Linked DNA regions of Cricetulus griseus. The main gene of each other region encodes a partner of the protein of the gene in region 3 in a complex. Links are inferred from orthologs where the notes say so. Each region holds a gene or a part of one and is shown on either strand. Other genes may lie near its edges.

Region 1 (9,969 bases), on a different chromosome or scaffold from region 3:
GAGAGCACCTGGCCATAGGTTCACAGAAATCGGAAGAAGTGGCAGTTTGAAATGGGGCTTTTGCCACAGCCTTCCTTGCATAAAAGGTCTTAGTTTGAGGTCCCACCTCCCATGGTGATGGGGTGACTCTAGGGGAAGGGGTGGTTTAGGGAGGCCTGAGTGATGGATAACCTCTGAACCCAGGGCTGTGGAGTTCTTTAGTCTTTAGCCCCTCCTTACAGCAGCTGTCTTGGGGCTGGATTCGTCAAAGATGTGTCCCAGTGAGGGATCTTCCTTCGAAAACACTTGGTTCCCTTGACTGAACAGTGGAAGCCAATGGGACAACAGTGATGGCCATCTGCACAGCAAGTGCCCTGGATGGTCAAGGGAGAGTTAGTACTGGACAAGGCAGAACCCACCCCATGGTGACACCCAGCCCCAGGATCAGGGATGGCACTGACCTCTAGGTAGGGACAGCAGGCCCAGCCTCCTTGGCTGTTTCTACAACAGGTTTGGCCATCATGGCAGTAATGCCCTGTCCCACACTCCACTTCCCCAACCTGAGGGCCTAAGGTCAGGTGGACAGGAATCTGGATGGAATTCACAGCCTTCTCACAAGTCCTTGCCTTCACGTTGCAGATGTACCCAGTCGGGCAGCAGTGCTGCCGGTCTTCACAGCACACAGCCTGGGAATGGGGGATGGTATCACACTGCTGTGCTATACTAACCCAAGAACACAGCTCCTTTCGCCCAGGTCGGTGGGTGGAAACTCACATGGGGTAACTGGCAGCAGGCCCAGTCTCCCTTTAGGCTAGGGCAGCAGGTCTGCCCCACCGGACAGCTGGTGTGCTGGTCACAATTGTTATCTCCAATTTGGGACAGAAATGTCTCGTGAGGGTGTATCTTCTCCAGGACAGCCACCATTCTGTTTCCCCCCTGACAGTACCCCTCCGCTGTACATGTGAAGCCCTTGGGGCAGCAATGCTGGTGATCTGCACAGCAGACAGCCTAGGGGTGGGCAGAGAAGAGTGTTCTTTGGAGGGACTATGGAAATCCCTCTCCTGCTCATAGATCCTCCACCAGTGGGCAAACCACAGCCCGGGGTACCACCCTGGACTAGGCAGAATGCATAAAAATAAAGCAACAGGACACCTGCCACCCACCTGCCCAGGCCAAGATGCTGTCCCCACACCCATACTCCTGTCCCCCTACCCTTGTACCTCTGGGATGGGACAACAGCCCCAGCCCCCAGAACTGAGTCTGCAGCAGGTATTGTCAGGAGGACAGACAGTGAAGTCATCACAGGGGACATCACTCTGGAAGATTTCTGCATCTAGCAGGCTGAGGGGGGCTTTGACCTTCTTCATCCAGGGCACCCGGAGGCCTCCCATTTCACAGGTTCCTGTCTCTGTGTGACAATGAAACCCTTCTGGGCAGCAGTGTATATGGTCCTCACAACACACAGCCTAAGGTGGGCAGAGAAAGACCAATAAGTACTGGAGCCAAGCTAGTTGCAGGCTGTTTGGATGCGTATACCCACTGCTCCCAGGTACCTTGCTAAATGGACAGCAGCCCCAGGACCCGATGGTAAGGTAGCAGCAAGTGTATCCATCTGGGCAGCTCACCTCCGAGTCGCACTCCACCTCCTTCAGAATAGGCACTGGAACCAGGTGTTGAAGATGGAGTATGTAGCTATCTCAATCCACAGGATACATCTGGCAGGTCCCTCCATGCAGCCAAACACCCACCCCCACATCCGTTCCAGAACTGAGCGGATGAAATAGTCTACCCCCTGTACCTGGGTTTCCAAACAGCCTGGACAGGAGGTACGTGGTGGACTTCTTGGATAGGCACTTACTCTGGATCAGGTCACACACAGTGTCCTGGGGACAGCAGTGCAGATGGTCGGAACAGCAGACGGCCTAGGGTAGGGACAAATATGGGACCCTGAATTCCAGTGGCTAGAGAGCATAGGGAGCAAGCCAGACTGACGACCAACACTGCCCCAATCTCCCACTAGGGGGCAGCATGAGCCTTGAGGCTCCCGGCAATCAGCCCAGTTCCTAGAGCCCCCTTGTAAGGATATGTCCAGGCACAGCTCTTCACTCACATTGGGCATTGGACAGCAACCATACTTCCCACTGGGTAGCTCACAGCAGGTAGAATCATCAGGGCACTGGGTCTGGGCATCAGGGCACACCACCGAAAAATGCAAAGCCACTGAAAGAGGAATGAGATGTGAGGGAGGGGCTGCCAGGATGGAGGGGAACTTCTTTTCTAGCCAAGAGTTAATGTGGCTTCCCCCCACCCCAAGTGCTAGCTGGATGGTTTCTCCCCTGCTCACCTGCCCTGCTTTTCCTTTGTGCAGGGAACTTCTTTAACAGGGGGTGGGTGCCCCTAGGTGAAATGCATTCTGTATGAATCATGTCACAGAAGGCCCCATGGGGACAGCAATGTATTTTGTCTTCACAGCAAGAGGCCTGACAAGAGATAGATGGTCCATAATCCATCTTCATCAGCCCCAACTCCCAGCTGTACCCCTACTACCCGCTAGTCACCCCCATTTCCCCACATCTGTACCTGGGGCATGGGGCAGCACCCCCAGGAACCATCAAGCATAACGCAACAGGTAGAGGATTCCGGACATTCGAATTGGCTACCGGGGCACTGGACAGCCCTCAGGAGGCTATCTGCAGATAGGAGAGTCCAGGATCCCACCAATCCAGTCAGCAAAGGTCACCCCCAGCATCGGCACTACAGGCACTGCAGGGCCAGCTTCAGAAGGTCTAATAGCTGGTACTGGGGCTTAGGTGATCACCCAGGATCCCAGGCCACTCTTCCCACAAGCTAGCCCCTACTTCAGAGAGATGACAGAGGCATCCAAGGAAAGTGGGCGGGTGTTAAATCGCTCCAGCATGGCCTCTCCATGGCCTACATCACCTGGAGTTCTGCATCGTTGTCTGTCCCCTTCTACTCTGTGAACCACCCCTCTGTTCAGAGCAGAAAAGGAATCAGAGCCACCCAAGCAGTTGGGCTCCTGGGCATTTCAGGTACCACATCATGCCCACCCCCCCTCTCTCCCTCCCCACCTGCCTCCATCCCTGGTGCCCCACAGCACCTGAATGTCGGAAGCAGGTTGTCCCATCCGAACTACAGTGGAAGCCCCGGGGACAGCAGTGGTAGCCATCACCACAAGATATACCCTGTGGGACACAGAGAAGCCTGTGTGGGCCTAGGAAAAGCCTTTTGTCTGGGACTAGGAAAGTGGAAAGGGGTAAACGCAAATCTTAAGCACACAGCCTATGTCAATAGCACCCTCACCTTAGGGAAAGGGCAGCAACTGGAAGTCCCTGACACAGTGAGGAGACACGAGTAACTTCCAGGACAGTGGTCATGGACCTGACAGATGCCACTTAGACGATCGCTCATTACCATAGGCAATGTGTCCTGGAAAGAAGCAATGACATATACCAGAGGATCTGTGCCAGACCTCTTCTGGCCAATCCAAGGTAACCCTTCAAAAGGCCAGGATGCCAGCTGGGGCGTGAGACACTCACCAGAATAGGGTTGCAGCAGCTGTAGCTGGCTCCTCCGGGGTCCAGGCAGCAGACAATAGGGCACGACTGACCATCTGGACACTGTGTTCCAGCCACCAGGCCTGCCATGAAGGCCAGCCAGCTTACCAGGGTCCACATGGTCTGCCTGCAAATGCCAAGGAAAGTTTGGCAGCCATCTTAAGCTTATGCCACCTTCTATTCTGAGTCCATGCAGTTCCCCATGCCCTGGCCAAGGCATGACATGCCTTGGATTTATTGAAACTTCTCAACAAGTGAGCAGGAAGGCAAGCAGCTGCCTGAGTCAGCATCCTACACTGTAAGCATCACACTTGCACCAGCTTGCACACACGGTGAGCACGAATGCTGGCATGAACACAAGTGTCCATCATGTCATCACACTTGGCCTAACACCTGACACTATAGGCGACTGGAGAGGCGCGGAGTTATGACAGTCAGGAAGCCATGTGGCTTTGATTTATGGGACTGTGGGCTAACTGGGAGGAGACTTCAGCGGCCACAAGAGGACAGCCAGCCTCACCTCGCTGCCTGGCACTGAACTCCCACATGTACTTTTCAAAGGCCTTGGGGAAACAGAGTTGTCAATCACATGATCATATGGGAAACCAGGGGTTGAGAAAGTTGTGAAAACGGAAGTGCAGTGGCCAGGGGAGTCTGGGCTGCCTTTCCCACAGGCCAGCCACTGCCTGCCCACAACTGTCCCCTCCCCACCCAGGGGAAGGGCACATGGTGGCTGGATTAGCCTTGAAGCTAATTTCATAACCAGCCCTCCTCAGCATCACCAGGACTCCTTTGGACTCCTCAAACATACCACCTGTTTCTCCCTACTCAGAAATCGAAACTCAGCTGCAAGAGCAAAGTTAAGTGTACTTCTTCACTGGCCCTCTGCCTTAGCAGGAGGAACCGAGTCTCTCACTTCCCTAATAAGTCTTTCCCCAGCACAGCTGGCCTACCCAGCAACCCAGAGTGACACTCCCCTGCCTGGGGCAGCAAAAACAGCAATATTCAAAGACCCTCCAGGGAGCCACTTTGCCCTTCCTTACTGTATTTCTCTGCACAACTATGCAAAGCAGTGATCAGATTACTTTCACTTTTCAAATCCATGCCCAGGTATCAAGTCAGAGAAAACAGACTGCAGATATTGGACCTGGATTCTTATGTCAACTGACATCCCTGAACATTGCCAGGGAATGGACCCCAAATCCCAGAGGCCAGAGGTCCAAGCAGAGGGAAGCGGGCAGAACATTTCCCAGGCAGGTGACCTACACAGGATAGAAATAGGGTGGGTACAGCCAGACGGTGGTGGCACACGCCTTTAATCCTAGCATCCAGAAGCAGAGGCAGGTGGATCTCTGTGAGTTCAAGGCCAGTCTGGTCTACATAGCAAGTTCCAGGACAGCCAGGGACAAAAAGATCCTGCTCAAAAACAAAAGCAAAACAAAAAAATCTACAAAAGAAAGGGTGGGTACAGGGACGGTGTAAAATCTGCCACTGATCAATTGCTGAGGGCCTCAGAAATTGTTTCCTGTGCCTCAAACTCTGAATACTGGTGGCCATGGAAGGCAAAATCCCAACATCCAGACCTCAAAGCTTCCGATAGGCATGACAAACATGCTTTTGATCCCTGCACTTGGGAGGCTAAGGTGGGAGGATTACAAATTCCAGGCTACAGGGTGACTATGAGGTCAGCCTGGGCTACATAGAGGATCTGTCCCTCATTGTGCCCCCTCCCCTTCCTTCTCTAGGTTTTCAAGCACCCTCTCAAAGAATATCCCAGAGGTCATCTCCTGGCCAGATTAGAATGGGGTAGGGGAGACCTAATCCCTTTCATTAGGGTTAGGGAGTGGTGACCTCTGGCCACCTCTACACCACTCTGTTGAAATAGCCTGAGAGGACTGGAGGAGCCTTTCAAGGCCCTAGCTTCGAGATCTTCCACTAGGTGGCACCCCCGACTCCGGAGTGTCAAGGGGAGATGAATTTCCCAAAAGGTGAGCCAATCCAGCAGAGGAGCAGGGAAAAGTGGCGGGGAGAGGCGGAAGTTAGCTCTCTCGCCCCCCATAAAGGAAGTACGGCTGACACAACCCAGGGATTCTGCCACCACGCCCAACTCCTGCTCCCAACTCCTCTGAGCTCTGGGACCAAGGGCGGGAGATCCCCACCCACTGCAAGTCGCCGCGAAGACTACTGGCGGCACCAGAATGAGAAAGTGCCGGGACCTGGAGACAAGAGGTGGGAGGCACCGAGAGAGATGAAGCTGGCCCAAGAGTGGGGCGCTTCCTGCTCTGGAGAAAGCCCTGCAGCTTTCCGACATGCTGGGCAGGGGAGCCTCTTGTTGGGGGTGTCTACAGCAACTGTTCCCACTCCTCCCAAATGACAAACCCTCGTTAGTGCATCTGAAACCCCGAGGGGAGTTTCAAGAGGCAGGACTTCTCTCGTCTCTGAGCTGAGGCTCCGGGGCAGCCTCAGTTGCACAGCAAGCCTGGCCAGGCCTCTGGACAGCAGCCAGGGAGATGTCTGCTGCGGGTCCTCCTACCTGCTTCGGGGTCCGCACTCCCTGGGAGGCATCTGGCTGTCAGCTCTCGGACTAGGGCTTGGCTGCCCGATGGCCCGCCCACCTCAGTTTCCATTAGCCCTGGGTCGGGAATCCGGGGCTTCCATTGGCTACTTGTCTACATAGAGGCGGGACTCTCCAGGAATGCTGTGTTTCTTTTCTACTCAATCCACACTCCTCCTCCCTTTCCTCTCTCTCCCCACACCCCATGTCTAGGAATCATGTGACCAGGCAATCATATGACACCATAGCCCGCCTCCCCCAGGGCCTCGCTTGCTTGTTCGGTTGCTTTCCTCCCACCCCCCAGGGCCCTGGCGGCGCCTGGCGAGGTGTTCTAGAGATGGGGCTTGCGTACCTAAGGCCACCGACAGTTAAGAAGGCGCCTGCGGGGCGCGCGTTCAAGGTCGTTTACAGCATAGCGTCGGCTTCTGGATCGGGACATTTGTACATTCACTGTTTTCACGCTAGGCAGCCAGGACTCCAAACAAGCTGAAAGATAGTTGGGAGGGTAAAGATAAACAGTCCCCAGATTTGGGTGGGATACTAAATCTAATAAATGTTCAAGGGCGAGTACCAGGCAGGAGATTGGCTGAAGGTAGGGGAAGAATAGATGTAAATCCACTTTGAGCTAGCCAGGAGATGGTATCACGCTGAACTGAATCTAGAGGAATTTTAAGGGGCTGGTTAGGCGGGACAGAGGCACTCCGGAAGAGGTTAGGAAAGCAGATGGGGAGTACAGTGTCTAGCAAGAGTTAAAAGCCACATTCAAAGTAAGGGCATTGGGCATGAGCTAAGTATGTGGCATGGGCTGGTGAAGCAGGCTGGTGGCTGTGGAGGTGCAAGAGGCCTCCTAGTTTCAGCTACCCCTACCTTCGAGGAATTGTCATGGTCCATGAATAGAGATTTTTAGCAGTAGAACAGATTAGCCAGAAACAAAAGCCAGGCTGCTGAGTGCCAAAGGGCCTGGGCCAGACAGAAATGGCTGATTGGAGACCTGCCAGGAAGAGGACAGGCCCCAGGAAAGCCCAAGGCTGGGCCTTGTAGGAAAGGCAGAGTTGGTGTGGAAGATAGGTCCCCTGGGAGGAGCAAAGAGCTTGACTGGTAGGCCACTCAGGGGAATGGGGACAGCCCTACGAATAAATCCAGGACAGTAAGAGTCTTGCATAGAGAGGAGCCTGGTGGGCTTCTTGGGCTAGAGCTACAGGAATCCCAGAAAGTGGAGGCCAACGTGGAGTATCTAGGGTAATTCTGCAATTCTGTAATTGCTTAACACAGCCCCAGTATCCTTGCAGCTCTCTGAGTCAGGGTCTCCTGTGTTCCAGATCAGCCTCCAACTTGATATGTATCTGAGTATGACCCAGAACTTCTTGTTTCCCTGCCCCTGCTGCCTCCCAAGCTCTGAGATTGCAAGTGCAGGCAACTGTGCTGTTTCTGTGGTTCTGGGGTTAAGCCTAGGGCCTGTGTCAGCTAGGCAAATGCTATCAACTGAGCTCCATCCCAGCCCCAGGACTGCCTTATAAGAAAAAAAGAATTGTTGGGGGCTGGGGCTGGTAAACTCAGCAGGTAAAGGCACTTACCAACAAAGCTGACAACCTGAGTTTGATCCCTGTGACTCACATGGTAAAATCAAAGACATGACTCCCCAGAAGTCATCCTCTGACTTCTGCACATATGCCATAGCATAAGTCTACCCACAGACTTACATGCTCACACACTAGAACATACACACACAAAAAAATAAAATGGGAAACAAAGTTCTGGGGGCTATAGCTTAAGTAACGGTAGAGCTCTCACCTAGCATGAAATGTTCTGGGTTCAATTCGAAAGAAAGAGACAGCCAGAGGGAGCAGTAGGCTCACATATATCATAGGACAATGATATTTTTTGCCAGTCAGTCTCTCAATGTCCGCCTTGGTTGGGGGGAGGGGCCTGTTGTTTTTGTTGTTTGAGACACAGGGTTTCTATGAGTAACCCTGGCTGTCCTGGAACTCCTCTGTAGATCAGGCTGGCCTCGAATTCACAGAGATCCATCTGCGTCTGCCTTACAAGTGCTGGGATTAAAGGCATGTGGCACTGTGCTCGGCTCTACCTAATATTTTGAGATGTCCTCAGTCACCCACAGAAACAGCAGATGGTCATTTCAGCCAGGCTGGCCAATGGGCCTCTGGGATCTACCAGTCTCCACTCCCAGCATCATTGCTTTCAATGTGCACAGCTCCACCTCACACTTGCAGGGCAAGGACTTGACCACTGAGCCATCACCCTAGCCTCTGAATTTTATTATGTTTGTTGTAGGGTTGGGGAATGTGGGACAAGTGCTCTACCTCTGAGCCACATCTCCGGTCCCCATCTTAAATCTTTGGAGTAGACTGGGCGTTCAAGGCCCAGGAAAGCTAATGGTAGAAGCAAATCCAGGCCATTTTTTATTTAAAATTTTACTTACTTTTTATATGAGTGCTCTGTACATATATTTGCACACCAGAGAGGGCATCATATCCTCTTATAGATGGTTGTGAGCCACCATGTGGTTGCTGGGACTCAAACTCAGGACCTCTGGAACAGCAGCCAGTGCTCTTAACCTCTGAGCCATCTTTCCAGCCCCCGGCCCCAGACCATCTTTTTTAATGATTCAGGCTTTACACTGTTTGGGTGAGCCCCACTCAAATGATAAAGGGCAATTTGGTCTACCCAGACCTAAATTTAACATCATGCAAAACACATAAAGGGACACACAGAGTTAGCCACCATGTTACCCTTTGCTCTGTTTTCCTATACTTTTACTGTACTATACTATGTCGGTGCTTATATATACTGGATATTACATATTTTGCAGACATTCCCTCCCTGCCTGTCACTTGTGTTTTGTGTTTTGTGATGTTAAATCATCTAAAATCTATTGATCAATCTTTCCTCTGTGTGTGTGTGTGGTATGTGTGTGTCTGTGTGTGGTGTGTGTGACTGAGTGTGTGTGTGTTGTGGTGTGTGTGTGTGTGTGTGACTGTGTGTGTGAGTGTGTGTGTGTGTGTGTGAGTGTGTGTGTGTGTGTGTTGTGTGTGTGTGTGTGTGTGTGTGTGTGTGTGGTGTGTGTGTGTGTGTGTGTGTGTGTGTGTGTGTGTGTGTGTGTGTGTGTGTGTGAGTGTGTGTGTGTGTGTGTGTGTGTGTGTGTGTGTGTGTTCGTCTTGTCCCATTCCTGGTCAGAATTTATAAATAGAAAATAGAGACTGGGTGTGGCTCCATATCAAGCACATACCTGGTGTGTAAGAGGTCCTGATACTGTCATTATTAACACGTGCTGTCCACTTCCAGTCTGATGCCCAGATGCCAGACTATGCTGGAGGGAGGCTGTGCAAGTCACTGGACATCCTGTGTTGGGTGATGGAGGTTTTTGTAGGTATCCCCAGTAAAGTTACACCTCCCTCTGCTCTGGTTGGCCAAGTCAGGGCTGTGGGGCTCTCCCTCCTGTGACCTTTCCCTTCTCCCAGTCTCTCCCTTGTTCTTCAACAGTCCCTTCAGGGTTTTTGTCAGTCATGGTTGCTGCTCTGTCACGATAGAAGGGCCATGACTATACCAGTGTGGGAGCTCCTCCAGTCTCCAGGATCTTGACATGTCAGATAAAATTCAGAATGTCCAGTTAATTGAATCACACGTTTATTTGTTTGTTTTTGAGACAGGGACTCACTATGGAGACCAGACTTGCCTCAAATTGCTACAGATCCACTTGCCTCTGCCTTCCGGATGCCATCACACACCAGACTCTAAAAGTAAATGTCCTTTAGTGTAGGTATGCCTTATGAACAAAAATGAAAATAAAGACAATAACAACAGAAGCACCACCCATGAAGCATTTGAGACACACTTGGAAAT
Region 2 (10,019 bases), about 120 Mb from region 3:
AAATTTTCAGTTTTTTCTACCCTTTATCACAGGTCAACCAGACTTGGTAGTGCACTCATTGATACTAGTACTTTGGGGGCAGGGAGAAGAGGATTGCTACATGTTTGAGACCATTCTGTGATACATACTATGTTATAGGCCATCCAGGGTTACATAACTATATAACCCAATCTCAAAAAATGCATATATAAACAATCTAAAGATACATTTACAGCATCCCTAATGCCATTCTTCAGTGATGTGTTACTTGTTTATTTTATCAGTAGTAAAGTATGTTTTGGAGTTAAAACTAATGGTTGAAGAACCAAATCCAATTTGGATATACCTAAGGACTGGTTATTTATCTTTCTGAATTTAAGTTTTGAGTCTTAAGAGGACCATGGCTAATTGACAATGTTTGTTTCAGAACATGTAGATGACAGAACATCTAGAATATGGATATGTAATGTTGAAAGTAAAAGTTACATTTACTATTAATCTAGAATTCAAAGGCCTTTCCATATGTGGCTATGTATGTGCATGAGCATACACACATCTATACATATATTTATATGTATAATTATTTTAAAAATTAAATATTTTACTTGCCCAATAATCAAATATAAAAGCTGAAAAGCAATTCCTATTTACATGCTAATCTGTGAATTGCACCCAGCATTCTGATTTTTCCTCTATTTTCTTTGAAACTTTTGTATTGTGTTTGTTTATAGGTAAGTACACATGATTTTTGATTTTAGGAAAACAGTTGGATTTACTTAAATTTCTTGACATGCGTCACTATTGCCAGTATAATAAAAAACTGCCTCAGTGTTTGATCCATTCACATATATGGTTCAAATGTGCCTTATGTATAGTATTATCCTTTAAAGATTGAAGAAAAATGTTTGTTATTCTCCAAATATTTGAAGGACACTTTGAAGGTAAGAAGGATGTTGACTTCAGAACATGATTCAATACTTTCTAGTATTTGTAAGTCTCCCTACTATGGTTTTATCAGGGTGTAGACATAAATACAAACGAGAGCCCACTAGTGCAATGACCCTAATGTCCATCTTTGGGTTCTTTTGTACCTCCCAGTGTTGAAAGGCCCTGCTGTGGCAGATTTTTTGGAGCTGGAATATGGTCAGCATTGCTTCCAAGCTAAAGCCATCCAGAACAACAGGCAGTTTCCTTTTTCCAACAAGATCATCTTCATGCATATCTCCTACTTCCCCAGCTGGGCTGTTCAGGTTATTTATAAGGCTGCAGACATTTAGCAAGGTCATTTTCCAAGAGGGAGGACTTGCTTTGCTGATCTGAAATATTGAAAAAAGATACTACAATTAAAGTCTGTTAGTAGAGTAGGAATTATGCATTGATTGTGGTCAGCCATAGTATTTTAATTTCTACTTTTGATAGAACTGTGAATGTGTGAATCATTTTTATTATCTTCTTAACTCACAGAAATTCCAATCAATGAGTATAAGGATTTTCACTCTGTTTTCAAGAATCTTGGAATCCTTTCTACTACCTGTCTTAACCAAGATTATCCAACCATTGCATGCAATTTTCTGAGTTAGTATGACATTTTAGAAGAAACAATCTTCATTTAATTTCAACAATACCTAATGCCTTACAAGTTAAAATGTTATTTCAATTTTACATTTGGAAAGTTCTATAGAGATTTTTTATTTCAGTGTTTCCTAAGATTAGTTTCTTAGAACATTGTTTCTGCCCTCAACTATTGTTAAAATAGACTTTACATTGAGATAGAATTACATCACTTTCCCCCTGCCATCCTCTCCCACATACTCTTTCTCAACTCCTTCCCATGTTTGCTACTACTCTTAAGTTTATGGCCTCATTTCTTTGGTTGTTACTGTTTAAGCACACACATTTATTTGTGTAATATATATATATATATATATTATATATATATATATTGTGTGTGTTGTGTGTGTGTGTGTGTGTGGTGTGGTGTGTGTGTGTGTAACCTGTTTAGTCTGGTTCTTTTGGTGGTGTTTATAGCAAAAACTATATACACACCTCCATAATTTTAAAAGAACATTCTATTATCAACTACATTAGCATTAAAGGAAATCGAAAAGTTTTAAAATAAAATATCCTGAGATCTTACATGTGAATGCATATGTGGGTTGGTAGGAAATAGACTAGACAAGAATATTCTCCCCACACACATTTGCACACAGAAAGTAAAGGGAGGTCAAAAAGTTGTGATAACTGACTGCATACTTTTCTTTTTGTCGAACAGTCAAAAATGTCACTGTGGCTCCTGTCAGGAAACGGAACTGGAGCAAAGGATAACAAAGGAGACACATATTTGACAATATATTTGAAGAAAGTTTTATGTCTAAATAACAAATTCTAAATATAGTCCTCATCACCTCTGTTTCATTATTACATGTAACCTAAGAGATATGGTTTACCCTCCCTATCTATGAGTCACTGAACTGAGATCAACTTATCAGATGGTGGATCTGAGGTTGTCAACAAAGTGCACATAACTAAAGTCATCTGGTGTCACCTAGCTATAAGTTTAGATCTTTTCATTGGAAACCTGTCTTTTAACAATCAATTTGATATACAGTGATTAACTAATTCTGAATCAATTAATTTCCTAGTGTAACATGGTAATGTGATATATTGTAACAGTTTTATTCCTAGGCAAAGACTGGTGATTAGAAAAGGTGTTCTCAAGCTTGCAAAATCTTGCTCAGAATATAGAACTTCGGTGAAATCATTCAATAACAATTGGATATCTTTTGCTAATGCTTTTGAAAGAATGAGAATGTGACCTCTGTTATAGGTAGTAGAGTTTATAATCACCTATGAGAAAAACGTAAATTTCTACATTCTACACTCCTGCTGTTGTACTTAAAAAGATATGGAAAGCCAAGATCAATCCTATTAACTAACTCAGTTGCCTAAGATTGAATAGAGCAGAAGTCTTGTTTTTAGGACTGGATCTCCAGGTTAATGTTTGTGTGTCTATAACTTTTTTCTATGCCATATTTCCTCCCCATGTTGCCTTCATGCCATATTTTAGAAAATACATTTTTCACAATTAACAAAAACATAAACCTTTCTATTGGACTTCACTTGTTCCATTAACCTGAGGCAAACATACCTTTCATTCTGCCAATCTAATAGTCATGGAAACAATTTAAGCATGTTTCCCTGTCTCCATAACATTATCTGTGCCTGCTTAATTAAAATTGAAACATACCAATTGACAGCCCTATAGACACTTTATCTTTCATATCAAAACCCCTGACTCCTCAGAACAGTGGTTCTCAACCTGTGGGTCACAAACCCTTTGGCAAACTTCTATCTCTAAAAATATTCACATTGTGATTCATAAAAGTAGCAGAATTAGAGTTGTCAATTACCAATGAAAATAATTTTATGGTTGGGTTTAGCACGACAAGAGGAACTATACAAAAGGATCACAACATTAGGAAGGTTGAGAACTACTGTCTTACAAGAAAAAATAAAATCTCTCAAATAAGAAATGTCTCCCAAAGGCCTTTCCAGCTTTGAGGTGGGTGACTATACCTATATTTATTAGAATAAGAAAATAATATAGTGTTTAGAGTGGGAATTCACATGTTCTTCTGGCCTGGATTAAAGGGAAGAAAAATTACCTTGGATGCATGCATGTTTGTCAATAAGTCTGCCTCTAATGCTCTCATGTCCTCTTCGGAGTCTGAATAAAATCAAAACCACACATTTACTATGTAGTCACACATCATGTCATTATATTGCAACCAATATATTTCAAATTAATTTAAATAATTAGTCTCTGAAGCTGATTGTCTTCTGCATGTAATTCCTTCAAAGCAGTATTCAGAAAGAAACACATCACAGCTTAATTTTCTGCTGACAGCTACAGTAATAAATCACTTCTAAGAAAATGAGCCATGATAATTTGCTAAGCAATGTATCCATGATTTAGAATTGTTTCATCTCTGAATCACAGTAAAACATTTAATTATATTGTCTAATGTAGACCTTAGCAAATATGCTCCCTAATTCTCATTCTTACCAGCAGTAGTTCACACATATAGAAACTATGTGTGGAATAAAGAACAAAATATGAATACAAGTTTTGTTTCTTATTTCCTGGAGAAGCCATAGGGAATTTCTCACTAGTAATTTTAGAATAAAAATGATACTGAGATTCACTTCACTACAAATGTCATTCTATAAAACAGTCTTTGAAGGAATCAGTTTCTGTTTTAAATAAGAGTTTTGGATCGTGTGCTTTCAATTTTATCATAAGCAAGTGAGGAAATGGCTTAAGCAAAGGCAGAGCTCTCCATCAACACATGGTAAGCAGTATTGAAAACAGATCCCTGAATCATTTTGGAACACATTTTCCATCATTCCTTTTATGAGCATTGTATAGAGAAGCAACATTTAGAAATATTAAACAGTTGTTGAACATTTTAATATCCATTAGCCTTTTGTGATAAATCAAGGCAGAGCTTAAAAAAAGTCTTCCACTCTACAGTCATTAAAACACAGACACCCACCTGATGCAACCCACCAATAAAGCACATGTAAGAACTAAGTCATTCCAGAGACACTTTAGTTTGGCTTATTACAAATACATGTTTGCTTGTTTTTCAAGATGAATAACAAAATTAATCATATTAATTACTGATAAAATATACACTTATCACAGAAAAATGATTTCAATTAATATAGAGTTTTTAATCAATAACCTACTTAATTCTCTAATTATAACTAATTTGATAAAGTCGTATTTATGGGAAACTGTGTTGTTCTCATAAAACATTTACAGGATTTTATGCTTACAAAATAGTGAAATCATTCTAAACAAATAACATTCCATGCTGTTAGAGTTATATTTGTACTTGTAAATCTTAGCAGGAGTTTAAACTAACATGTTAGATTCCTAGTTGTTAACTATAATATCTACAAGTATCAGGTAAGTGATTTTTATTTCATTTATCCCATAGGAATTTCCACTGTGGTGTGTTTGTTCATTTATTGTCTATTATTAATTAAAACACATTGCAATCATCAAAATATTTCACATTACTCTTTCAAATGTATCTTATTTTCAAGGAGAGTTGATACATATCTGATAATAATATATTTCTTCTCTTTAGCTGTCATATAAAAACACGTTGAAGCCAAATTTTGTCATAAATGTAAGTATATAAATTTTGTGGTTATAATCTCTGCCTACTTAACTTACATCCAGAAAAGCAACAGCTACATAAATATTACAACTCTGTAACAATGAAAGACTATAAAATGTACTTTTAGAAAGGACATGAGACATTTTGTGTTACATTAAAAATAGTATTCTGTAAATAAGGCTCACTCATTTATTTATTGATATTTATTTCCTGTGTCGGAACAAACACATAGAGTTAAAAATAATTTGAAAAGAATCACAAAGGTAAGTCACCATGTAAGAGAATGAGAAAAGATGAGAATAAATGTTTGTGAATGTGATATTTTAATATCTGCATGCTGACAAGCACTGCTTCAATTCTCCTCAATAATGACCAGCCCAATTCAAATTTTCATCTTTGTTTTATTACTCTTATCTCTTTTCTCTTTAGTGGTTATATTCCAAAGGGTAATAAATATGTTGTATTTCCTTGATACCACATTTACAGCTTTACAGATTCTTAAAAGTAAAACAAACAGTTCAGTTCTTATAATCAGAACAGGAGAGAAACGTGATATTCACAGTTTCTGTCACTAACAGGCAGTTAGAGGGAAAGAGAGAGGAGCTCCTCCTGGATCCATTAACCTGAGCAGCAGCAGCCTGCAAGAGAGAAATCACTTAGGAGAGTTGTGAAAGGTAGTTGCACTTACCTGAGCACAGACTCCAGGAGCTGAAAGCCAGAAGCACCAGGCACACTAGCTGGATGTTCACTCCTGCCATCATTTTTCAGCCTCTGACAAGCAGGTCCAGACAGTCAGAAAAACACTGAAGGAGCTCTTCTCTCCGTGCTTTCTCTTGCCTTCAGCTGGCTTTGAAAATGAGTGAACTATGAAGGATGCTCTGGCCATTCCCTATATATATATGAGCAGGAGGGTGATGTCATGACTGTACAGGATGTGCCCTGCCTTCATCTCCATCCCTCCCCTTCTCCCCCCACTCCCTCCTCCTTTTCCTTTGTCCCTCATCTCATCCCCCACCCATGAACCTTGATTGAAAGTGACGATCTTCCCTAATTGCAGCTGTTGCTCAGGATTTCTGACTCACGGAAAGAGTTGTTCAAAAAAAAAAAAAAAAAAAAGCACTGGCATATACAGCATAGTGAGCTCTCCTGGTAGCATTCTTTCTTGATTTTCTCCCATGCCCCTGCTCCAGGAGTTGTCATTTTGATATCTGATATATTCCTAGTATTTAGGCAAAAGCTCTAGGGCAAAATCAGTGACTCCTTATGCTTCGGAGACTTAAAAACTTGAATATATTTTCTGGTAACACAAACTTTAGAGAAAATGTTTTGTGGTTTCAAAACTCATAGAAAATGTACATTGCACATGCTAAAATAAGAATGGAAATAGGCACAAGTTGGAAACAATAATGAGATAACAAAACAAATCAAAGAAAGGGAAAATCAGTTTTTAAAAGGAAGAATATTAGATCCAATGAATAGTATTATTTGCCACTGAGTTGAGTGTTTATTATATGTAACTGGGGAAAGACTAAACTGCATATGTTGGACTTTAATTGAATGTTTAAAATAATAAAGACATAAACAGCTTATGTGTTATAAGGTAAACCATGCATCGCTTCCTTATTTTTCTCTCTCCTTTATTTCACCGAACTCTCCTAACTTTTTTCTGCATTCTGTCAACTGCCCCCTCTCAGTTTGATCTTCTTTTTTATTGTCAAAATGAGATTCTACATTTAGAAAGAAAAATATTCTGTGTGGTAGCTATTCACCAAAGTCAAATTTCTAAGAATTCTCAGATAATTTGTGAGTTACAATGCTATTCTTTCCTTCTCTTGGTTCTTGCAAGGGCGTATAGCTCAAATGCCTTTTGGGGGGACTAGCTTTATTCCTGCATGTTCTGAACTGGTAGGTATTATGGATATGAATATTTGAAAGCAAAGATTTCTGAAATTTGTTTAGTTTGTTCAGAACACTAACCATGTAATAATAACTAAAGGGAAAATCAAGATTGGTACTTCAGACAGTGGGTTTATACTATCCTGTATTTACTATGATACTAACGTCTCAGTCTTTGCACCAAACTTAAAGGAAGTTACTATACATTCCTATTGCCCAAAAGCTAAATAGTAGTTGTCTTTTATGGTATTTTAATTTTGATTTGTAGTTTCTGTGACACAAATATACTGAATTCAACTCTTGACAGTTTTCTCAAGGATGACTGACTGGCAAGCCTGGAGCATGCATGGATTTTTTCTACCACTGGGGGGAGCAGTGGTAGTTTAGAAGGCTTTTCATTTTCACTGGGAGCAGGGTTACTTACTTTTCTCATTATCCCAGAATAATTTCAGACTTAATGAAGACAATAAATTATATTATTTGCATAATATTTAAATTATTTTCTTTGCTTTTAAATTTTAAAACACAAAGAATAATCTTCAAAAAGGTGTTAAAATATGTGCTAGCCTTCTAATAGTGAAAGGAAAATTTGATGCTTATTCCCCCGAGTGATTTCCTAGCAAGTGGAGCTTGGGGAAGTGTTTATAAATGTATTTCTGAATAATTAAGAAAAAATAACATTTTAACTCATTTTAAGCATACCACATGAATATTCATTGTTAAAGTGAGAATTATTTTTAGTTGTATGATTCCAGAGAAATATTACAAGAATATGTATCAACCAATGTCAAATGACACAAAAATCAGAGATTATCGTAGGTAATTTTTCTGTTACAGTGTTGGTAAATGACTTTCACTGGTATTATAAAATACTCTACCCGTTCCCTTTTAGCCTAGTTTACTGGAGCTGTTGTAGAAAGACTATTAAAGAGTCTGTTTCGGCAGGAAGGTACAGGTGCCCAGTGGTTTAGGCTTGATTCCTGGGAGCCATAGCAAACAGAATGGCCAAGACAGGGCTTCTCTGAGACTCAGCTATTTCTAAACAAAATAACAGAGACCTGACAGAGAAACAAATACCCCACAAAGTGCTTTGAGACATACTGTGAGTAAAAAGACTGACAATTTGTAAATGTGGCAGAAGACCATTCAGAATAGGTGATTTGAATATATTTAAAGTAAGTAAAAAATGAAAAAAACGAACCCACAATTCCTCCATCTAAAGCTTGGGGATCATTGCAGAAGATGGGGCAGAAAGAGTGTAAGAACAGGAAAAACTGGGAGTTTGCTATGAGAGCTTGTCTCCTACAATGTCAGAAGCTACATCCTAATGTCTCACCAACATGACTGCCAAAACACGACCTGAAGCATCAAGCATCAGTAGACATACTAACATGGACAAAGGAGAGCACAGTAGGCAGCTTAATCTACTCAAAAACTACAGGCAACTAAGGAACGCTGAGAGTGGGAGGAAGTGTTCTCAATGGAAATGGATAGCAAAGTGAAACATATCATCAGAAGAGGTGCCTTATTTGATGAAAAGCTTGTAGTAAAAGCATGAACACGTGAGTTTGGATATCAGGAACCCGTGTAAAATGCTGGGAGTAGTAGTGTGCTCCTATTAATGACAGACTTGCAGGGAGGGAAGAAAAGGCTAAGGAGAACTGAAGTACTTTGGCAACCTAACTTAAGCAAATATATGCGTTTCAGGTTCTATGGCCACCACCCCAAGTCCACTGGCAGACCAAGATGCCACTACATGTTTCATTGGTAGTCTCTCTTAAAAGAATCAAATAAAGGTACCCACTGTGAGTCTCTGGCCTCCATACACATGCAGTTGCATGTATGTACAATGACACACATACATACACATGTGCACACAGATATACACACATATACCTGCAAACATACACACATTCTCATACACCTGCTCATGTCATACACACACATATCTACACATTCACCCATACACACATACTTATATATTCATACACATACACACATATACACATGCATACACACATTCACACACAAAACATATACATGGTCATACACCATGCACATATAAACACATACACACACACACACACACACACACACACACACACACACACACACGCACTGAAACTGACACAAATCATACCTTTCACACAGAATTGTAGGTATCTTTCTATGGATATATGTGAACAATTTTTATTCAACAGCAGTTTTACCTGGAATGCTGCTTCATGGAGTAATAAGCAACTTGTGCTCAGCTGTGCCACTCTTCATGAGTTGGGTTTCCAGCTCAAGGTCACAGTGTCCTGGTGATGGAAAGATCTCTACAGGAGATGACTTCTACTTTTGGATAGACATTTGTTGCACATTTATTAACCAGTTTCTCAAAATAATCAACAAAGACATCTAAGTAATTAGTAATTATAAAACAGTGATGTGTAAACTTGTCTAATTTGGAGAAGAGAGAGCCTGAAACCACTTGATGGACGGTGGCCCTACAGGTCCACACCAGCTCCTTTTGCACATTCAGAGACTCCCTCACATGACTGAACCTTCCCTAGGCTTGCTGATGCTTCTGTACTGACACACACCTGAAGATGCCTTTTCTCTATCATCTGCAGCCTGCTGTCTTCCTTCCACTGTTCTGTACTCCTTGTGATATTGTTGTTCATCTTAAAAAGACTTTCTTTTGTGATCTGATTCCATCACAACTTCCCAAGTTAGAAATCTGAGGTATTCTCATTGCCTTTTGTTTTCCCCCAGTTCTCCTAAAACTCATACTATTTATGAAAAACTGCATAATTTAGCTGGAAAGGACTATATTTCTTTTGTATTTCTTCAGTACGTTCAAGTTCACGCACCTGAGCCTAACTAAAATGCTAACTTTTAGATACTTCTCATGTTTTCTTCATGTCACATTTGTCATTCTTGTGAGCCAGAATCTCTTAGGTTTCCGTG
Region 3 (10,112 bases):
CTTGCTGGAATTAAAGGTGTGCACTGCCACCATTACCACCACCACCAGGCCTGGCTCTGTGTACTTTCCTTCCACTTCTGTAATATTTACTGAAGTAACTTTAAGAGGTAACAGTGATGCCAGTTTGGGTAACTGTTATGTGGTGGATTAACCTCAAAATAGAAAAACTGGTCAATAAGAAATTTTATTTTGGAGTCAGAGTTATTTTTGGGACCTGATGTCTGTAAAGAATATCCCAGGACAGCAGATCCCTTAGTTCGTAATGAACAGCTGCCTCACTAATACTTCTGACCAAGCTAGGGCCATCAGCAAGGAGCCTAGCCCAGCTTACTAACCCCTTTCTGTTTCTCTGCAGCTAGCCACGGTGCAGCCTGGTCAAAATTTCCACATGTTCACAAAGGAAGAACTGGAGGAGGTGATCAAGGACATTTAAGGAGGAGCCATCCTCAAACATCTGGGAACAATTTCAGTTCTCCTAATTGCCCTTAAACTTTATTTCCAGCTCTTATGTCATGGAAAAATCTCCAGTATATGTGTGTTTTTTTATGATGTCTGTACATAACAGCAATTCTGAAATAAAAAATTTTAAAATATTTGTTATTGTCTGAGCTCTTACAATTTTAAATACCTGTGTTGGTAAGCAAAAAGGATAGTGGTTAATACCCCTATTCTGTGACCATGTCTGTTTAAAATTATTGCAGTGGTTCTCTGCAATAGTCATTGCCAGCACTTTGGTGCTGGAGATGAAGTCTGACTAGTCCAGCACTTCCCGGTGGTTAGTAGATGTTAATACCGCTGTCTCTTAAGGAAACATACACTCTGTTGCTTCCTTTATATGGAGACACTGCTCATTGACCATCAAAAAAGACTGTCCTGGGGGCCTCCCCCAAACATTGATGAGTTGGGACAAGTCATCCCTTTGACTCTACCCCTTCTTTGTATTTTGATGGACAGTCTGGGAAGGGTACTTTTTTTTTTTTTTTTTTTTTAATTTATTATGCATTGTGTTCTGCCTGCACACCAGAAGAGGGAGCCAGATCTCATTATAGATGATGGTGAGCCACCATGTGATTGCTGGGAATTGAATTCAGGACCTCTGGAAGAGTGCTCTTAACCTCTGAGCCATCTCTCCAGCCCATTTCTGTTTTTAAATTTATTTTTATTTTATGTACATTGGTGTTTTGCCATGGGTGTAGGTCCTTTGGAACTAGAGTTACAGACAGTTGTAAGCTGCCGTGTGGGTGCTGGGAATTGAACCCAGGACCTCTAGAAGAGCCGTCAATGCTCTTAACTATGAGCCATCTCCCCAGCTCCATCTTTTTATGAAGTTAAGGACTATTAAAAAGCAAAAAAAACAACAAAGGCATGGCTTTGACCTCAGTAGCAATGAGAGTAATACACTTAGCTGTATAAGTAAGAGAACTGTTAAATTAAAAAGTAAATTAAAAAGTTTCTGTTAGACTTTGGAGTGAACTATGAACCTTCATCCCTGGATCTGTCTCAGATGATTGGTTAAGATTAACAGGCATTCCATTCGAGCCTCAGAAATGACCATAGGAACACTACAAACAGATGGAGAACATAAGGCTATGTCAGTGGACATAGAAAATTAAATGGTTTAGGGGCTGGAGAGATGGCTCAGTGGCTAATATCACTCTTCCAGAGGACCCAGGTTTGGTTCCCAGCACTTACATGGCAGCTCATAATTATCCATAACTCCAGTTACAGGGGCTCCAACACCCATTTCTGGCTTCCCCAGACACCAGGCGTACATGTGTTGCACAGAAATGCAGACAAAGCATCCATATGTGCTAGGCCGTGGTGGTGCATGCCTTAATCCCAGCACTTAGGAAGCAGAGGCAGGTAGATTTTTGTAAATTCAAGGCCAGCCTTGTCTACAGAGTGAGTTCCAGGACAGCCAAGGCTATATGCAGAAACCCTGTCTCTAAATAAATAAATACTTTTAAATTAACAACAAAAAAAGTATTGGGACTTGATCTTAGGTTTTTAAAGATTTCAAATCTTTAAACCAGGTCTTAAGTATCAGGTAGTTTGAATGTGTGCTATCTGAAGCATGACTAGTATTTATTTGAGGGTGGTAGAGAATAAATTGCAATTCATTGGTAGTTTAATTATTATTTGCTGGGCTTTCATTCAGAGGCTGTGCTTTGATGTTAAATAGTAACTAGTTGGGTATCTGAATTCATACAAAAGTCATAGTGTAGCTTACATTTGAAAACTGAAATTCACAGGAAGGAGGAAATTTTGCCCTATGTACGCACACAATGAAAACTCAGAGAACTCAGGCTTATTATCAACATTCCACAGGTTTCTAGTGATGTTGATACTGTTATAAAGTATGAAGTGAGATTTGTTTAGTCCCTGGCCACTGTTGTATTAAATTGTAGTAGAAGATATTATTAAAAATCCTCGCTGGGCATTTGTGGCCCATGCCTTTAATCCCAGCACTCCGGAGGCAGAGGCAGGTGGATCTCTCTGAGTTCAAGACCAGCCTGGTCTACAAGAGCTAGTTCCAGGACAGCCTCCAAAGTCACAGAGAAATCCTTTCTTGAAAAAAAAAAAAAAATCCTTTATCAGAGGGGAGGTGGGGGGAGGGAATGGGAGAAGAGGAGGGAGGGGAAACTGTAGTCTGGATGTAAAATGAATAAATTCAGTTAATAAATAATACTTTTTAAAATCCTGTTTCAATTTAGTCATTTAAGAAATTTATTGGGAAGCGGTCTGCTATATGTTAAGTAATGCACTGGAAATATAACTGTGGAAATGCCATCTGTGGTCTCCATACGGCCTAGGAAATTTACATTTAGTGGATTTGTGTGCGTGTGAGCCTGAGTCTATGTGAGGAACATGAGAAGGCCTGAAGAGGACGTTGGATCCCCTGGAACTACAGGTGGTTGTGAGCTGCCATGTATGTGTGTGCTGAGATCTAAACCTGGGTCTTCTGCAAGAGCTGCAAATGCTCCTAAGGTGGAACTAAGGAAAAACTTAGTGTAACCTCCCACACTGCAGCTCTTCCTCCCATTTCCAAGACAGGTGTGGGCACTTTATAACTGAGTAACAGTAACTGCCATACTAGCTATAACTAATGTGCATTGTTTAGCGAGACACAATACAATGTTAAGGTTACCTGTGTCCAAGAAATGACCTTACTTCGAAAAGGAATGGCTTTGTGATAACAGACTATTAATATTTTTGGTACAAATAAATTTGGGGAAAGTAGTTTTTAGTAACTTAACATGTTTGTAAAATTTACTTCTGGGGATAAAGATCTGGTGTAGTCTACGTCAGAGGTGGAGCCCTTGGGTAAGATCCTGGGTTTAATCCCCCTTGTTGCAAAAAAAGAAAAAAATCGGGTGCATGGGCAACTTACATGTCAACAATTTGAGGAAATCTAGCATACTATTAAGTATATACCTAAAATCAACCTATTAAAAGTGAAGATTAATTCAGGAGTGATAGGTAGCACATGCCCGAAGTCCCAGAACTTGGCAAGTTGAGGAAGGAGAATCAAGGATTTGAAGCCACCCTGGGCTTCAAAAACAGACACCCCCCCCCCACACACACACACACTAGACAAAAACCTAAACAATTGTACCAACAGCTAAAAGATGTGTCTGGTAGTTTCTCCAGCAGGTGGCACTGTTGAGTTAGCTTTCTTTTCCCCCATAGTAAGACAATAGACCATTCATCTTTGTCACCCAAACAAAGAAATATGCCTTTTGTAGCCCCTCTTCTCCCCTCCGTAACTGATCACATGCTACTGGAACTGACTGCCTTGTGATCTAATCCATAGTTGGCACGAATTAAAAATAAGCTGTACTTTTTAAAAAAATAATGTGACGTTTTTATTTATGGAAAGAAACATTCATCATTTTTCATCTTGTTTGGTAGCTCAGAAACTGGATCACTTTTTCTGTTGATTTGCAGTCCTGCTCAGCATTCAAAGCTTCACAACTCACTTCTTAGAGTGGTTTGGGGGGAGGGGAAAAACCTAAATATGTGAATAGTTTTGTTTGTAAAGAACAAAACCAGTACTTTGAAGTACATGCTCTGGGGTTGGGTGTACATTACAGGAAAACTCTCACTTGGGAATACTGTTACTTTGAAATTAAAAGTAACTTCCAGTTTGCTTTCTCTCTGGAATAACATTTGGCATACTTTGTATCTTTTTATCTGGCTTTGTGTGTTCCTACTGAAAAACTTAAAACGCTGGGAAGAGATGTAGCTAAGGATTTAGAACTGGTTTTACCAGCACTGCATGTTCTGGAAGTTGTGTGCGCAGCTTCTGAGGCGTAGAAACAGTGGAGAGTTTATTTACTGCAGGTGGGGTACTAATTTAGGAGGCATCAGATTCTGAGAAGAAACTGGTACGAGGCACTCACTGCAGGATTAAGGGTATTTTAGTTAACTAAAATCACAAAGTGCCTGTATTGAAAGGATCATATACAAAGTAGGTTTTAGGCAACTCTCTTCCCGTTTACCTACACCTGATGGCAAAGTTACCAACATTTCCAAGTCCAGGGAAGCCAGTAAGTAATTCTGCCTCTGGACTACCTCCCTGCAGACAGGAAGGTGGCTGAGGCCAAACGTGTTGGAAAGACTTTTGCGGCTTGCACCAGTCACGGGTGTAATGATGTTCATCTGCCTCCCCTGGATTTTCGCATTCACCTTCTTGGCTCCTTCAGCAGACAATGGGCGAGCCAGAGAGCCGGGGTTAAAACCCTGATGCACCAGTTTATGTCGGAGCCCCCTTTCCAGCGGAGAGTAGTTCAGGGATTCCCTGACTTTTCCAGGCGCAGTTTCCACCGAAGGAATTTTTAGGAGCATTTCAGGGGGCGGGGAGAGAAGGCAACATGACCCAATCCTAACCCGAGGGTCTCTGGAGGCGCCGCGAACCCGGGGGCTGAGCCGGGAGGTGGGGGAAGCCCCCCGGCCGACTCGGGGAGCCCAGCCCGCAGACGCCGAGCGACGGTGGGGAATGACCTCAGCCGTCCCTGCCACGTTCCAGCCAATCAGTCCCGCATCTAGGCATCCGAATCCAGGACCCCCGAAGCCGGAGGCGACGCGAGCCAATGAGGAGTGGGCCGGGGAAGAAGGACAGGCGGCCAGCCTATGGGGGCGAAGAGGCCCGGCTGCGCGTATCCAAGCAGCGCCGGACTGGGCTCGGGGGTGTGGCGCAGCGCCGGCGGGGGTGGGCGGGCGCGCCGGGTGGCAGGTGTCAGCGGCGTCTGCATTCGGCGGCGATGGAGCGGCCCCGGGGAGCTGCGGACGGCCTCTCGCGCTGGCCCCTCGGCCTCCTCCTGCTCCTGCAGCTGCTGCCGCCGGCCGCCGTCGGCCAGGACCGGCTGGACGCGCCGCCTCCGCCCGCGCCGCCTCCGCTGCGCTGGGCCGGGCCGGTCGGGGTGAGCTGGGGGCTGCGCGCTGCCGCGCCCGGGGGCCCCGTCCCCCGCGCTGGCCGTTGGCGCCGCGCGGCGCCTGCCGAGGACCAGGGCTGCGGCCGCCTCCCGGACTTCGTCGCCAAGCTGGCCAACAACACGCACCAGGTAAACGCGCGGGGGCCCGGGAGCCCCCCACAGTGGGACCAACCCCTCCCGGCTCGCGGTCCCCCTCGGCCGCCCCTCTCCCGCTGCACGCTACGAGGCTGGCTCGAAACCCTGGCTGCGGAGGGCGGCGGGGCGCGGGGGCGGCGCGGGTCGGGGTAGCTGCGGCCCGCCGGGCTGTGTGTCGTCACAGCAGAGGCAATCCGAGACTTTCACTCGCCGCATTCTTTGGCTTCTCAAGTTGTCAGAATCTCCGGGTCATCCCCGTTTCCCCCCCAGCCCCCACCCCGAATCTAGAATATCGGGTCCACCAACGCTGTTACCTACCAGGAAGCTGGAGGCATAATTACCCCTTGAGTGATTGCGGGAGAAGTTGGGCTGCCCAGAGGCAGAGGTGTGCCCTCTTCTGGGTCGGTACTTTCGGGGTGGTGAGGCTGGCGTCCAGAAATCCCACAGCAGTTGTTGTTAGGTCAAGGCTTGGGTTTCCATATTAAAGGAACACGCATGGAAACGAAGATGACATTGAGATCCAGCCATAAAATGACATCTCCGCTGCTCCTAAACAAAACAAAACAAAACAAAACAAAACAAAACAAAACAAAAATATGGTTCAAGATGTTTTCTCAGGATGCAAGCGCAGAACCCTCTGACCTGACCCAAAATGACCTTGAGAGGCTTCCCGAACCAAAAACCAAAACCCTAAACCCTGTGTGCAGAGCCCAGAGAACAGAGCAGGACCTCTGGGACCTAGATTAGAAGCAGTTGCAGGACAGACCAGAATTATCCAGAAGTTCCATCTGGATGGTCTCACAGAGTTGCCAACTGTCCCAAATATGAGTCGGGGTTATAACCTATCACCCCTCTCTCTATAACCTGTCACGAACCCCAGGCTCTTTAAATTCCCTTGCTCCAGACCCATTGTGGAAAGAGGCTCCAGGGTGCCATGTTTCCTTGTAGGTGGACCTACGATGAGACTGGTGTTGGCTTCTGTGAGTGACCCGAGAGTCTATGATTTGTCTTATTCCTTCAACGCTGGCCTCTAACCTAGTGTTGAACCCTGATCAGGACCGCTCTATCCTGACCTGAATTCTAATAACTATAAAGCATACTACAGAGGTTCCTCTTGAGCCTCTTGGTCAAGACTTTACAAGTTGTGTTGTTTCTGTTTTGGGGCACAAGTATCCGAACCTTGACACATTACTGCATTGAGAAACTGTTGGCAAAGTCTTGGTTTCAGCATAACTAGAGCATTTTCCTCCTCTATTTTGCTAAAATTAACAATTGTTGCAACCCACACATGGGGGAAAGGCATCTTCAGTTCACTGTGTTTTCTGTTGTCTTTTCCTCTTTTCAAAGAGAAATTGTACACTGAGAGGGAAGTAGGTAACTCGTGTTCTGTACCTGTTCTGTCTTTGTTTACATTCCATCTCAGTGTCACTGGAACCTCAGTGTCCCCTTGGGCTTTCTTTTGAGATCCATCCTTGCTAGTGTGACATAATTATCCAATCAGGGGACACAAGAAAAACTGATGAGCCCAAGCAGCAAGCTGTATGAGGGTAGTTAAGAGGTGCTGAAGGGTGAGACTGGTTGGGCGCAGATAAAGTGGAATAAATACTGGAAAATCTTCCTATTTAATGAAAAAAATGATGTAGACTTCCCTTTCTCAGTAGGTTGAGAAAGAGTTTACAACACCGATACTTCATGCAGATTATGCCAGGCCCGCAGCTTCCTTGCACCAGCCAGACCCAGCAATCTTACCCCATATTTCAGATCCTTCTCTTGCTGCATGACCCGTCTTCAGATCTGCAACAATCCCTGGTTGAATATGTCATTAATAATAAACCGATTCCAAAGGAAGAGACAGAGAAACCTGGTTCAAGAAATGCAGAAACCTCCTTCTTTGGAATTCATAATCAAAGCGTTTTTCTCTATTTCATTTTATTTAGTTACAGTTTGTTTTTTTTCTTCTTCTTCAATCTTCTCTATTAAAATGGCTGGCTCCCCCCTCCTCAGTCATTACCCTTCCATAATTATTCTTAATCGAGTTTATCCTTTTTGTAATTTGAATGCCTGGGTTTCTATTGTTGTTTGTTTACGTGGAACCTTTGTTAACTGCCTTCAACTTAGAAGTCAAGGTAGTTCTCAAAAGCTCAACTTCTTCCAGAAATTATGAAGTAATTCTTGTGTTTTTCAAGTCTGTGTTTTCTCAGATGTCATAATAACATCACGCTACACTGGACTGAAGAGATCTGGTATTTGGGGACCCTTTATAACAGGGTGAAATAAAAGCATCAGCGTAACAGAACAACTTATTTATTAAATTTATTGTCAGAGACATTGTGTATTTTCAGACAGTTGGAGTGGGAAGGTGTTTTTTGGAGTCTTTTTTTTTCTGTAAAATGTGAAAGGATCCAACCCCCCCCCCCAGAAAAAACACAGAAGCTCTTAGTTCTCATTTCTTACAACTTGGTGGGTTTTTTTGGTTTTTGGTTTTTGGTTTTTTTTTTTTTTTTCTTTCAAATCCTATCATGAATGTGTGTGAATGCTTCCCAAAGGCTCAGAGCTGGGCGGGGAGGGGCTGCCAAATTACAAAGGTATTAAGGCATGACAATGCACAACTGCTAAAGGTTTTAGCAAGTCTCTAGACTGGCTCCTATAGCTTATAATAATTTATACCATGGTGGTAGGGGAGGGGTTGCTGGGGATTAAACCCCACACCTTGCTCATACTAGGCAAGTGCTTGTTCTGCCACTAAGCCATATTCCCAGCTCTAGCATTTCATCTTAGGAAATTTACAAAGTAAAGAGTATGCCTTTATATTGTGGCTTTTCACCCTATGCTGTGACTCGGGCTTCTTAACTCATGAAACCCAGTAAGTTGTTCTCTTCCCTGAGCCTCCCTGTTTCTCTCTAGGTTTCCTTTCATAGTCTTTTAGATCTTGGTTGTAAGTCTGTTTCAAGTGTGTTGTATTTATTTTGATGGCATATGCTGTTCACAAAGGGGTCATAATGAGTCAGTGATCTATGGGATTGAAGTAAGCAGAGAAAATACATCTTTTTCCTAGTTACAGTACTATCAATAAATACAATAAACTCGTAAGAAAGTGGAAATAAAAAATATTGGCTGTTACTGAAACAGCAAAAAGAATGGCAAGACAATGAAGGCCGAAGATCACTGCTTACATCTTACAAAAAACAAAACAAAACAAAACAAAACAAAACAAAAAACCACCCTATACTTCCTGATCTTGTTCTGAGGGTTTGGCATGCCATGGAAAGACTCTGCAGCCCCCTGGGGCAGGCGCTGGGCCAGGCTTGCCTGCGTTTGAGTTCTCACTGTTATTATGTTAGCTTCACTAAGTTACTTAAGCCTACCCATCTCGTTCCTAATCTTTAAAATGGAGCTAAGCAAGCATGCTTAGGAGAAGCAAACAAGGGTGCATAAAGTTACTCTCTGCATTAGCAGACCCAAAGTCCCTGATACTTAGCACTCAGTTACAAGTGTTGCTTTCTTTCTTCATCCATGGACTTTCTTAGCCTCAATTGTCTTCTATTGCTCTTAACCCCTTCTATTGCTCAGGCCTCAGTATTAAGCGACTGTTGCCTTTATGTGTTTGGAATGTTCACAGCACATATAACCTTTGTACATGGGAGAAATTGAGCAGGCCCAGAGGATTTTCTTAATCTTGGTTGCTAAGTTGGGTTGCTTCAAAACATTCCCCCATAAGCACCCCTTTGAGGGTAGGCATGAAAGTCTGTCTTAAAGAAACAGTAGACATGCCTTTCTTGGCCAGAGTCACAGTGGTGGCTGACATAATTTCCTTGCTTCTCATTCCTGTGTACAGACCATTTGATAATTTCCTTAAAAGTTCTTAAACTTATGATTAACAGGGCCGGGAGCCGTTGCTCACTCCTCCCTAGGCTCCTGTCACTGGCTACTTTACCCATAACTTCCCAGCTTCTACCCTGACATCAAAGCCTCTGGTTCCTTAAGCAAACAGGCCCTGTGGAGAGGCTGTTGTGCGGCCTCAGCCCTGAGAAGAATGCCTGTGTTTGTTTGCCACACTGGCAGGGCTGAGTCCCGGCAGAGGGCTTGGTGTGTCTGTTGGCGCCTTCGGAGAGCTGCCGTTCCCAGACTGTTGGGGATCACCAGACCTTTGTAACACCCGAAAATCTTAACTTTAACTGTCCCAGAACTTCCTGCCTCATTTACCCCAGCAATAGCCTGTCTTCATTCTGCACCCTACCCCACCCCCATCCTCCAATTCTCCACTTCCACTCTCCAGTTTATCTCATTTCTTACAAGGCCCTTTCCACTCAATTTTGGGTCAAGGCACAGGAATTCAGGAGGCTGCCCCTCTTGGTCCTGGTTGAGCAGAGTGAGCCATGGCCTCAGGGAGAGAAGCCCTCTCCCATACGGACAGGCCTGCTGGTGATTTTAGGATGACACATGCTCTGCATTCCCGGGGGAACCATTCGCAGCTATGATGAGTCAGGTCTCTTTCACCTGGGGAAAGGCTGATCTCCTGAAGGGCCCAGCTTTGGTTGACAT

What was found.
Region 1: the proteins of Sort1 (region 3) and Grn are in contact, whole or in part, in a crystal structure (PDB 8T8S), measured with the Homo sapiens proteins. The link is inferred for Cricetulus griseus from reciprocal best matches to the Homo sapiens genes SORT1 and GRN. Residues at the interface, in NP_002950.3 of Homo sapiens: Leu108, Gly110, Ser111, Val112, Ser113, Leu114, Ile174, Gly175, Pro176, Lys260, Tyr304, Ser305, Phe306, Gly307, Leu308, Phe314, Ala315, Ser316, Arg325, Ile327, Phe350, Tyr351, Ser352, Ile353, Leu354, Tyr395, Thr398, Gly399, Thr402, Phe404; in NP_002078.1 of Homo sapiens: Pro578, Arg579, Trp580, Asp581, Ala582, Pro583, Arg585, Arg590, Gln591, Leu592, Leu593.
Region 2: the proteins of Sort1 (region 3) and Nts are in contact, whole or in part, in a crystal structure (PDB 4PO7), measured with the Homo sapiens proteins. The link is inferred for Cricetulus griseus from reciprocal best matches to the Homo sapiens genes SORT1 and NTS. Residues at the interface, in NP_002950.3 of Homo sapiens: Val112, Ser113, Leu114, Ser115, Trp116, Lys260, Tyr304, Ser305, Phe306, Gly307, Leu308, Phe314, Ser316, Arg325, Ile327, Phe350, Tyr351, Ser352, Ile353, Tyr395, Gly399, Thr570, Gly571, Leu572, Ala573, Trp586, Trp597; in NP_006174.1 of Homo sapiens: Leu152, Tyr153, Glu154, Asn155, Pro160, Tyr161, Ile162, Leu163.

The regions. Positions count from the first base shown.
Region 1 is NC_048600.1:115,669,459-115,679,427, forward strand, and holds the start of Grn (progranulin), read right to left. Parts: upstream 6,193-9,969; 5' UTR 6,120-6,192; coding exon 6,088-6,119; intron 3,682-6,087; coding exon 3,537-3,681; intron 3,427-3,536; coding exon 3,301-3,426; intron 3,183-3,300; coding exon 3,098-3,182; intron 2,670-3,097; coding exon 2,560-2,669; intron 2,460-2,559; coding exon 2,324-2,459; intron 2,200-2,323; coding exon 2,090-2,199; intron 1,902-2,089; coding exon 1,778-1,901; intron 1,640-1,777; coding exon 1,533-1,639; intron 1,446-1,532; coding exon 1,200-1,445; intron 988-1,199; coding exon 754-987; intron 666-753; coding exon 441-665; intron 354-440; coding exon 216-353; 3' UTR 1-215. UniProt on the Homo sapiens protein: Secreted protein that acts as a key regulator of lysosomal function and as a growth factor involved in inflammation, wound healing and cell proliferation. Regulates protein trafficking to lysosomes, and also the activity of lysosomal enzymes.
Region 2 is NW_023276806.1:167,737,590-167,747,608, forward strand, and holds the start of Nts (neurotensin/neuromedin N), read right to left. Parts: upstream 6,083-10,019; 5' UTR 5,933-6,082; coding exon 5,860-5,932; intron 3,707-5,859; coding exon 3,645-3,706; intron 1,296-3,644; coding exon 1,071-1,295; intron 1-1,070. UniProt on the Homo sapiens protein: Neurotensin may play an endocrine or paracrine role in the regulation of fat metabolism. It causes contraction of smooth muscle.
Region 3 is NW_023276806.1:48,825,415-48,835,526, reverse strand, and holds the start of Sort1 (sortilin), read left to right. Parts: upstream 1-5,234; 5' UTR 5,235-5,264; coding exon 5,265-5,564; intron 5,565-10,112. Other genes in the region: Psma5 (proteasome subunit alpha type-5), read left to right, coding at 356-433.